Linked DNA regions of Arabidopsis thaliana. The protein of the gene in region 1 interacts with the protein of each later gene in a pairwise test. Each region holds a gene or a part of one and is shown in the gene's direction. Other genes may lie near its edges. The genes, in order: HSPRO2, BEL10 and BLH1.

Region 1 (3,761 bases):
CTTTTTCCTCAAAAGATGACTTATTTTAGTTATTTGAATTCAAAGTTAAGGAATGAGGAAGGAAAATAGAAAATAAGCAGACAATCTACATTTTTTTTTTTTTTTTTTTGTCGTCAATCTACAAACTTCTTTGCATACTTTTCATATATATATATTTTTTTTAAAACGTAATAGTATAGGATGTATATTAAATGATATGAATAGTGGAATGATTCAGTAACCAAAACAATATAGCTAAAGAAAGTGTATTTATTAACATATATAAAAAGTTGGTTTTAGGGTAAGACTAATGCCTCGAATTTACTAGTTGTAACATTTTATTCTTTTTAAAGAGAATATGTGTCTCGAATTTACTAGGCGGGTGTAATTGGTTGTAGAAAAACGTTATTGTTAAAGATGGCTTTGATCAGTGCAAAGTGCAAACAAGTGACGTACGTAAAATAGATGTAAACAATACCAATTAAAACATAAGTAGTTATTTGAAAAGAAAACTCTTAACATAAAGAAGATTATAGACCACTAATTTGTATTTCAAACTATATAATCATTTGTCCTTTGTTATAATCTACTTGTCTAATGTCTAATATGTAATGGAAGAAATGGTCTGTCTTCACTCGAACCGTTTCCAACTGATAGTATTAATTAAATTCAATATCCAATGTACCGATAAATTAACAGAAACATCCATGAAAGTCTTGGTCACAAAAAATATATTTCATGCACTTAAAAGAGATTTGGTGAAGAAATCTCAAAACAGTCTTATTACAATCAAAATTTATCTATCGTATATAATAAATAAACAAAAAAATCGGTGAGATTAGAATATTGAACTGGAAAAGAAAAAAGAAAAACCAAAGTCAAAGGAAACGACAGCTTCCAAGTAAAACACTATTAGAAGATTAAGTGAGACCAAACTCCAACCTTCCTCACATATTTTGGATAAGCTTCGCATCTATATTCCTCCTACTTCCATGTGCCATTCCTTTTTCAATTCATAACACGGCACCGTCTAAATGCTTATCCACACTACAATAAAAAATAGTCATTTTTATTATATACGCGTTTCAAATACTGATAACACGATACAGTACTAATTTAGGGGACACTATATTTGTGAAAACTGCGGACTATACACTTTTCTAGTATCCAAATTTAATTTTGAGCAATAATTTTATCGTAACGTATATTTGTCTTATAATGCTCCTACTTGCAAGTATTATCCTAATTGTTTGACCTTATAGATAGAGCTTTTATAACTTTTGTAGGGAAACATCAAACATGTATTAAAATCTCTAGTGTTGCGAATTTAAGTTTATGCTTTCTTGAGTTTCTTTAATTGCCCGTCATTACGCTACTAAAATTTCACAATTTTGTCCGTTTTATACATAAATATACATAAACAAATACGTGATTTTTCTCTCTTTTTCTATTCAATTCATTATAGAAAATAAATGACGTTTTTCATATTTGCAACTAAAACATTGTTTTCTTTCAGTTTTATGTGGTACATGACACCTGTTATGTTTTACGATTGTTGATATATATTCAAAACACCATGTGCATGATTAGTTGAACTTGTAGCTGTAGATCGACAACTATCAAAATTATTATATATTTGCTTCGATCAAAAACTATCTACAGCTTGTAAATATTGCTCATAAGTGACAACCCATAACGCATGACTGACTTTCAAAAATGTATTTGCAGAAAATTTTATATTCTTATCGATCAACCCCTAAATGTTATACTACATCGCATATATCATCAAATAAAACATTTCTATATATGTATTAACATGTTATGAACATGACTGTGTGTTTTAACTTTAACTTTTATTAAAAGATAATATCTTACCAAAAACGAGAAAATATTCGATATTTCCTTAGAAATCAGATTACTGAACATTCGACTAATCATCAGGCATTTACCTTTCATAGAAAACAGTTCAAAAAGCAATATAAAGCCAAAAAACGAAAAAAAGATTATCCTGAAATTAATCCACAGTACTGGTTTTTTTTTTTTTTAAAAAGGAGACCGCGTTTCTACGCTGACTTTCAAATCAGTCGCGTCGGTATTATTCCACACGCCTTTTTTCTCGTCCCCATCCTCTATCCACATTTCTCTCTATATATACTCTCCTCGTATCCTAAACTCATCCTCAAATTCAAAATTTAACACACAAACACAAACACACACACCAAAAAAAACACAGACCTTAAAAAAATAAAAATGGTTGATATGGATTGGAAGAGGAAGATGGTATCATCAGATTTACCAAACTCACCTAAGCTTTCTTCAAAGCTTCACGTAACTATTCCATCACCGTTCAAAATCGTCCCTGTTTCATCTCCGATCTCATGTTCAGCACCTGCTCTTTGCTCTGCTTACGAGCTTTACCTTCGTCTCCCTGAGCTAAGAAAGCTCTGGTCATCTCGTGATTTTCCTCAATGGACATCAGAGCCGATTCTCAAACCAGCTCTTCAAGCTTTGGAGATCAGTTTCAGATTAGTTTTCGCCGTTTGTTCTGATACTAGACCGTACATCAACCACCGTGAATGGAACCGGAGGCTAGATTCTCTCATCACGAAGCAGATCCAGCTTGTAGCAGCGATCTGCGAAGATGAAGAAGAAGAAGGTATATCAGCGGAGGCTCCGGTCGGCGGTGGACGGAGTTCGTTGAGTTTGTTACCGCAGCTAGCTACGTGGAGGAGATCAGAGGCTTTGGGGAAGAAGATCTTATATACGATCGATAACGAGATGAGTCGGTGTAAGTACACGCTCGGACTCGGTGAACAAAACATCGCCGGAAAACCAAATCTCCGGTACGATGCGATTTGCCGACCAAACGAGATCTATAGCCTCAAGGATAATCCATACGCAGATCATATCGATAATCACGAGAATCAAACTCTCTATATCATTCACCAGATCCTCGAATCGTGGATCTACGCATCTGGAAATCTTCTGAATCGAATCGTCTCAAGTATCGAAGAAGAGAAATTCGGAAAAGCTTCAAACGATGTTTACTTGCTGGAGAAGATCTGGAAAATTTTAGCGGAGATTGAAGATCTTCATATGTTGATGGATCCGGAAGATTTTTTGAAATTGAAGAAACAGTTACAGATCAAATCGACGGGTAAAAACGATGCGTTTTGTTTCAGATCTAAAGGATTAGTGGAGATGATGAAGATGTCGAAAGATCTGAGACAGAAAGTACCGGCGGTCTTGGCGGTTGAGGTAGATCCAACCGGAGGACCAAGATTACAAGAGGCGGCGATGAAGCTTTACGCGAGGAAGACAGAGTGCGATAAGATTCATTTGCTTCAGGGGATGCAAGCGGTGGAAGCGGCGGCGAAGAGTTTCTTCTTTGGGTATAGGCAGTTAGTGGCGGCTATGATGGGAAGTGCGGAGATGAACGCGACGGCGAGTCAAGAGTCGTGTGACTCACTGAGTCAGATATTTATGGAGCCGACGTATTTCCCGAGCCTTGACGCGGCAAAGACGTTTCTGGGAGAGTTTTGGAGTCATTTGGGATGATTAAATTTTAATTTCTGCTGGTATAATTATTTAATATAAATTTAAATTGGTGGTTTGGTTTAATTTAGTTTGTAAGATAGTGAAATTTTTGGAACATTTGACGATCCATATTTGAATACAAATTCATTTTTATATGATTTATGAGATTTTTTAACAAACGATAACATTTACGAATATCGTAATCCATACTTTGAATTATCCACAAGTCGTAATTCAAATATGGG
Region 2 (3,761 bases), on another chromosome or scaffold:
GATCTTAATGTCACTGTTATCTTCCTTCTCTCGGCTACATCTCTTTCCACTAACACTACAGGAATCAAAAGTAGATCTCACGAGAATCATTCCTACTGTTGATACAGATAAAACCAATAGAATCATCAGTGGCCATCTCTTCTTCTGCAATGTTGCCCACATACTCGTTGATGGCTTCGCCATTGTTTCTCTCTACAGCTTAGAATCACATCCTAGGGTTTACACAGTAACAATCGATCTCAGAACTTTCTAAGGATCTGTCGTCAGTGATGGAGAAAGCTTGGAACGAAGAAGTTTAGAGGAGAGATTTAATGGGGAAAAGCCGCTAATCAGTGTTGACTCTTTGCAGAAGTTTGCAATTCACGCCGTTTTTGTTATTTAGAAGGAAGTTGATTGCCGTTTCTCAGCAGGCCCCCGATGGAATCCTCTCTTCATATTTATAATGGGCTTTAAAAGGCCTATTTGCTAAAAGCCTAAAACTAAACTAGTTATGATGATAGTTAATGCATACTATATGGTTTTAATTCTTTTTTTTTCTTAAGCTAAGCTAGGCTTCAGATTAGTTTTGCTGATACAATTTTGGTTTGGTTTTGTTTGGTTCTAATAATGGAGAGCATAATGATTTCGATCCATAGAATATAAATGTTACAAACATGAATTTTAGTGGTGATGATCCGTCTTCATATATGGTCCAACAATGTATGTGGCAATAAATTCTTTTACTTTTTGTTACACGGCCATAACTTGTGGCTATTTATTATAAAGTTTTTTTTCGGATATATCCATGTAATTAATATATTTGACAATTGGCAAGAATTATTATACTTCAACATTTTCCTCCAAACCAAAGGTTGTTCATTTCTTACTCACACACATTTTCCTCGTTTAGCATCATCGATTCATCCTCAACTTTAAAATATGATTTACAGAACCATACGGTTTTAAAAATAATTACATCATTAATAATCTAAATTTTTAGTAGATTTAATCAATCTCTCACCAGCTAACTGCCTAATTAATTTATTTTTAATCATCATTATAAATCAAGATCCACGTGGAAACAAAAGTCAATATCATCATCTCTCAAAGACTCAAAACACATGAATAATAATTTTCCAACACAATGGTACTTGCCAAATGATTTTGTGTCGGCTGCTCTAAATCCAATCTCCAACAAACCAAAACGAAACTACTTGTTATTTTAAAAATCAGAGGAAATGGATTATATTATTAGTGTAGCTATAAAGATAATCTTTTACGTATTCTTCATTGTGGAATATGCAAATACAAACATGTAAGTGTATAACTAAAAGGTTTATAACAAAAGAAATAAAAAGACAAGAGAACTTAGAATAAAAATTGGGTATAACAGAAGAGTAAGGAGGGACTCACCAACTGGTTGTTAAGTCATTTAATCCATCAATTAAGCAATTGAGCAGACACACACCCACCTTTGTTTTATCTTCTTCCTTAAACCAGCTTATCAGGGTCAGTTTTGTAATCTCATATTCCTACCTATAATGACGTTTCTATGTTTTATTTGATGGAGTTTAATTTCCGCTACCATGCATAACTAAAAGTATATCCGTTATATCAAACATTTAAAGAAAACCTCAAAGATATTGAACTACAAAGTGCTCAAGAAGTTCTATTAAAAATGTATCGAACTTTAACTTTATGATGAAAGCAAGGTGATAAGAACAAATAGTTTAAAAAAACATTTTAGTTTGAAATCCAAATCTAGACTCTATAATTTGTGGCAGGTAATAATTTCACTATTTTGGAGCCTCACGTACACAAATCAGGAAGTCGTTAAAAGTTTCCCACGATACCATGGTAATGTACGCATTATAGATTATTTCGTTTAAATAGTTAGATTTGGTTTTTTTTTTTAATATACAAATACTAAACTTTTCATATATAAACACTCATTCCTTCAACTTTTTTCTTTTGGTTGTATTTAGTTAACTTATACGGAAAAGTAGTATGAGTCTCAAGTCAATGACAACACAACATCATTAAAGTATAATACAATCATCTATAAAAATCCATTTATTTGTGTGTGTGGAATTGTTAAGTTTTGTATGTTAAAGTCGTCATAAGAAATATTATCACGTAATCAAGAAAAGAAAATTGGTGATTTGTAAGCTCTCACGTGTTTCTCTATGAATGGTTGGCACACAAAAAAAATCATATTAATTTATCTTTACTCTAAGCATCAGAAACAGAAGCTTCTGCCGCAAAAAATTAAAAATTACAGGTAGCGGTTGTCAAATTTTTCCGGTAGTGATCATTATTTTATTTTATTGTTGATATTGCATAATAATATTTTTAAAAATTGGGTTGGTGTCTAATGTCCCAATGATAAGTTGGGTTGGTTTTATTGTTCTTGTGGACTGAAAAAAATTTGTTTATTTAAGAATTTTGCAATTATTAATCGCCTCTTTCTCTATCTCTCTCGGGATTGGGTCTCAAATCTTTTTTTGTCTTCAACTGTTCGAAACTCTTCTGCTTTTGTGTTTCCTGATTCAGCCACATCCACACTCACAAACACAATCTCTAGGTTTTTTTTCTTCCTTTTAACTTTGATTCTCTCCCTCAGGTAGTTTTTAAAAATTCAAGTTCTTGATTCTTGATTCTTGATATGATTAATCTTGTACTGTGTTTCTTGATTATTATTTTTTGTATACTTTCTGTGTTTTTTTTCTCCCTTGCTTTTTGGAAATTCTCCTACAAGAGATGAAATCATCAAGACACTTTACTTCTTTATGTAATAATTGAATCTTCTCTGCTTTTGACTCACTACGTTGAGCTACACAATTTCTTTTTACTCTGCATTTTTTTTTCCAACCTCAAATTAGGGTTTTTTTCTCCTCTCAATTTCACCTCCATAGATCGGGTATTCCTCTACGATTACACAATTCCTGTATTGGGTTTTTCTGGGTTTCTTCAGTTCTTCACGAAAAACATTTGCTTTTTATCAAGAATTTGACTTTAATCCTCCGAATAATTTGGTCCGATTCTGTTTGTTGCTTTCGAAACTGTTTATGTATGATATATAAAAAAAATGGTTTGGTGTGAAATGATTACGATGTTTTAACCTCTCTTAGATTCCATCAGAAATTTTTAAAATTCCACACCTTACACGACTCTTCTTCCTCTTATTTTTTTGCAGGATCTCATTTCCCGACCAAACTCATCGAACTAAGAACTCACTGTAATAAAACTTTTAAAAGGTGTAAACACCAATGGCAGTTTATTACACAAGTAATGTCGGTTGTTACCAGCAAGAACCAATCTTTCTCAACCATCAACAACAAAACCAACAAGCTTCTTCTTCATCCGCCGCCGCTTCTTTCACCGTCACCGGCGGCGATACTGTTCGAAACGAGATGGTTTTTATCCCACCAACCACCACAGGAGACGTTGTAACAGGAAACGGTACCGTTTCAAGCAGCGATCTAAGCTTTCACGATGGTCAAGGACTGTCTTTGAGCCTTGGTACTCAGATCTCTGTTGCTCCGTTTCACTTTCATCAATACCAATTGGGGTTTACTAGTCAGAATCCTTCAATTTCAGTCAAGGAAACGTCACCGTTTCATGTGGATGAGATGAGTGTGAAGAGCAAAGAAATGATCTTGTTGGGTCAATCTGATCCTTCCTCTGGTTATGCTGGTAATGGTGGGAATGGCTTCTACAACAATTATCGGTATAATGAGACATCAGGAGGGTTTATGAGCAGCGTTCTGCGTTCTCGGTAT
Region 3 (3,761 bases), 1.6 Mb from region 1:
ACAAGATACCAGTTTTTATGCGCTATGGATGATTTATTTTACATAACTGGTAGTTTGTTTATGTGGACGGTAAACGATTCAAAAAGATAAGCAAATTTGTCCACATATGTTTTTGTTGTTCTACATACAAATTATAATTATCTATATCGTATAAATAAAATAAATACAAGTTACTAAAAAAGACTTTCTCATGAACTTAAACACTCTTTGCAATTAATCAACTAAAATTATCTACTATATTTCTAATTATATTTTAAATAAAATACTTTTAGTCAAATACCCTTTAAAAATAGACATACGTGGTAAACTAAAAGAATATATGAAATAAAGAAATAAAAGTAAATATACATTTAACGGGACCCACTCTTTCCCCATCATGCTTCATTATCATTATCGTTATCATCTTCTTTCTTCCTCTCTCCTCTCTTTCTCAATAATTTAGATTTTTGTGTGATTAAATATTTTAGGTTTCTGCAGAAGGAGACGTTTCCTCGTTTTTGTGCTGTTTGGATCTTCTGACACAATTCACTTTTCCGTATAAGTTTTCAATTTCTCTAATCCCATTATGTATATTTAAAATATTATACTCTTAACCTATTTGAGTGTTTGGAAGAAAAATATAAACTAACGGTAGGACTTTCAAAAATGAAATCTATTCATTTTCTAGAATAAAGTGTTGATGCGTTTTAAGTTTTTATGTGTATGTGGTAATATAAAACTTTGTAAATAAAGTATCTTAGTTAATCTGCTGAGGAAAATAATGAAATGAAATTAAAGAAAAAAACAGTTGAAAAAAGAAAAAATGAAAAGAACTTGGTAACGTAAACATTACTAATTTTATTACTTATAAATCATAATCAGTTCAAAGTTCGTTGCCATCCTCAGTGTACACTCTGAACTTGCTAGATGATAAAAGTCTGCAAGAATAGTAATCCGAAGAATACTTTATGTTCAGGATTGTAGTTATATCAATAAAGAAAGATTTGGATTGAGATGCGTGTGGGATTTCTTTTTATTAAATAAATACAAATATAATGTTTTAAAAGAAAATGATATGATTCTAAATTGGACACGACATACATATCACTATGTCTTGATGTGATAACATTTACTTCATCTATGAAATTATATCGTCTATAAATAACTAAATAAAGGGTGTTTGGTTGTTATGATATGTGGGTTCATTACCTGGTCAATACATGAAAAGGCCAAAGTCATATCATACAAGTTCCTCTGTTTTTCAAGTATACCAATTCTAAATTTATAATAAGATACGTATCACATATATATTACCAAATAATGTATACATATGTCTATGAAGTTGAAATATTTCGAATTTAATATTATCTCTTGTACTGGATGTCAAACTAGAATTTCAACAACAAACAATTATATGCACATTTTCTCACTTAGTTTTATGAATTTTAGCTCCCTATGATATATATGTACTTTGTAACTTATTTATCACCATGCTATATAGTGATAATAACATGAAGTAAAGGTTTTTTGAACATGCAGTATGAAAGAATGCTATGTCTTTTTCTTAATTTATTCATTAATCTTTTTCTATTTAAAAAAACTGTTGAACCAATTGCTCTAGAGTACACTAATTTAAATGATTACATAAAGCTATATCTAAGTGTAGAGTTTAATATCAATTTTGAAAACAAATTCCAACATGGTTGGAATGTCTATTTAGCATATTAAATTAAAAAGATAAGTAATATTAGCTGGTGGTGAACGTAAACACACACACACACACAAATTGTTTTGCGGATACAAGTATATATCAATATATGAATGTAAAATTAAGTTACATTAGTGAATATTTCATGTCCTAAACATTGGTTATTGTCCCATTTAACAAAAAATCCACTTTGGTTATAAGATATACCGACCACAACACTAAAATAAAATAAAATAGAAAGAAAGTGATGAAAAATGGTGGCGTACTAAGGACTGTGGGAAGATTAATGAGTGAAGGAAAAGATGGGTATCTTTTATCTCTCCTTTCTTTATCCTCTCTCTCTTTCAATATATATTAGTCATTTTTATTTTGTTATATATTATTTCTCAGCTTTTTAAATGTATTTTATATTTCCCCTTTGAGCAAGAAAAGAGTTGCAGAGATCTTTGAGTCTGACACAGAGACCAAACTCACATAGCAATCACACACATCTCCACAAACACAGGTATGCATATAAATATATATATATAAGTGTATATTCGTGTGTATGTGTGTGTGTCTGTCTCTCTCTCTTTCTCTTTGATAGAAATTCTCTAATGTAACTTTCCTTTTGCAGCTTGAGATGATCATGAAACACGTGCATCCTCAGATCTCTATCAATCCAGGTTCTTCATCTTTTATAATATTCATTTTTTCTTTCAATTTCTAACTCTATTATTTTATTATTTTATTTTCAATCATGATTATGTCTTAATTTCCATATCCTTCAATCTCTCTTTCTCATAATCCATAATTCATCCCTTCTTCTTCGTCTTCTTGATGTGATCACGATTCTTTTTTTCTTCGCTTCAACTGTATATATATACAGATCTATATTAAACTTATAGTGGTTTTGTTTTTGCTCCTTTTTCATACTTTTGTTTGTTTTTCTATGATATCAATCAGCTTGGTGAAAGAAGGTCAAGAATTGAAAGAGAATCAAAGAAAACGACGTCGTTTCATTCGTGTGTAACAACTACTAATTATACATAGATGGCTGCTTACTTTCACGGAAACCCACCGGAGATCTCTGCCGGATCCGACGGTGGTCTTCAAACGTTGATCCTCATGAATCCAACTACTTACGTTCAGTACACCCAACAAGACAACGACTCGAACAACAACAACAACAGCAACAATAGCAACAACAACAACACAAACACAAACACAAACAACAACAACAGTAGTTTCGTTTTCCTCGATTCCCACGCGCCGCAGCCAAACGCGAGCCAGCAGTTCGTCGGAATACCACTCTCAGGTCACGAAGCTGCTTCCATTACAGCCGCCGACAACATCTCCGTACTTCACGGTTATCCTCCGCGCGTGCAGTACAGTCTCTACGGTAGCCACCAAGTGGATCCCACTCACCAGCAAGCCGCGTGTGAGACGCCACGCGCGCAGCAAGGCCTCTCTTTAACCCTCTCGTCTCAACAGCAGCAGCAACAGCAACATCATCAACAACACCAGCCTATTCACGTCGGATTCGGGTCCGGACATGGAGAAGATATCCGGGTCGGGTCTGGCTCTACAGGATCGGGGGTAACAAACGGTATAGCTAATCTTGTTAGCTCCAAGTACTTGAAGGCAGCACAAGAGCTTCTTGACGAAGTAGTCAACGCTGATTCCGATGACATGAACGCTAAATCCCAACTATTCTCATCGAAAAAGGGTAGTTGCGGAAATGATAAACCTGTCGGAGAATCATCGGCCGGCGCTGGAGGAGAAGGTTCCGGTGGCGGAGCAGAAGCAGCCGGGAAACGTCCGGTGGAGCTAGGCACGGCAGAGAGACAAGAAATACAGATGAAGAAAGCAAAACTTAGTAACATGCTTCATGAGGTAACAACAATACGTATTATATACAATAAGCCTACATATACTGAGTGCTCTCTTATATCACACATGAAGTGGACTTAAAAGTTCTGTCCCTAAGATTTTCAGTCATTTTCACAATTCATTTTATATGTATATTAAGCTATCCTTTTTTTTTTTTGCTCTTCCGATTTCTCAAATTGACAACTTACAAGATTGATGAAAT

What was found.
Region 2: the proteins of HSPRO2 (region 1) and BEL10 interact in a two-hybrid assay, tested with the Arabidopsis thaliana proteins (one large-scale study listed by BioGRID).
Region 3: the proteins of HSPRO2 (region 1) and BLH1 interact in a two-hybrid assay, tested with the Arabidopsis thaliana proteins (one large-scale study listed by BioGRID).

Annotation. Positions count from the first base shown.
Region 1 is NC_003071.7:16,700,425-16,704,185, reverse strand, and holds HSPRO2 (ortholog of sugar beet HS1 PRO-1 2), read left to right. Parts: upstream 1-1,849; 5' UTR 1,850-2,229; coding exon 2,230-3,537; 3' UTR 3,538-3,696; downstream 3,697-3,761. UniProt on the Arabidopsis thaliana protein: Positive regulator of basal resistance.
Region 2 is NC_003070.9:6,811,342-6,815,102, reverse strand, and holds the start of BEL10 (BEL1-like homeodomain 10), read left to right. Parts: upstream 1-2,039; 5' UTR 2,040-2,260; intron 2,261-2,345; exon of another isoform or gene 2,346-2,899; intron 2,900-3,108; exon of another isoform or gene 3,109-3,175; 5' UTR 3,176-3,248; coding exon 3,249-3,761. Other genes in the region: AT1G19710 (UDP-Glycosyltransferase superfamily protein), read right to left, coding at 1-183.
Region 3 is NC_003071.7:15,090,658-15,094,418, reverse strand, and holds the start of BLH1 (BEL1-like homeodomain 1), read left to right. Parts: upstream 1-2,003; 5' UTR 2,004-2,192; intron 2,193-2,240; exon of another isoform or gene 2,241-2,303; 5' UTR 2,304-2,352; exon of another isoform or gene 2,353-2,632; 5' UTR 2,633-2,719; coding exon 2,720-3,562; exon of another isoform or gene 3,563-3,761.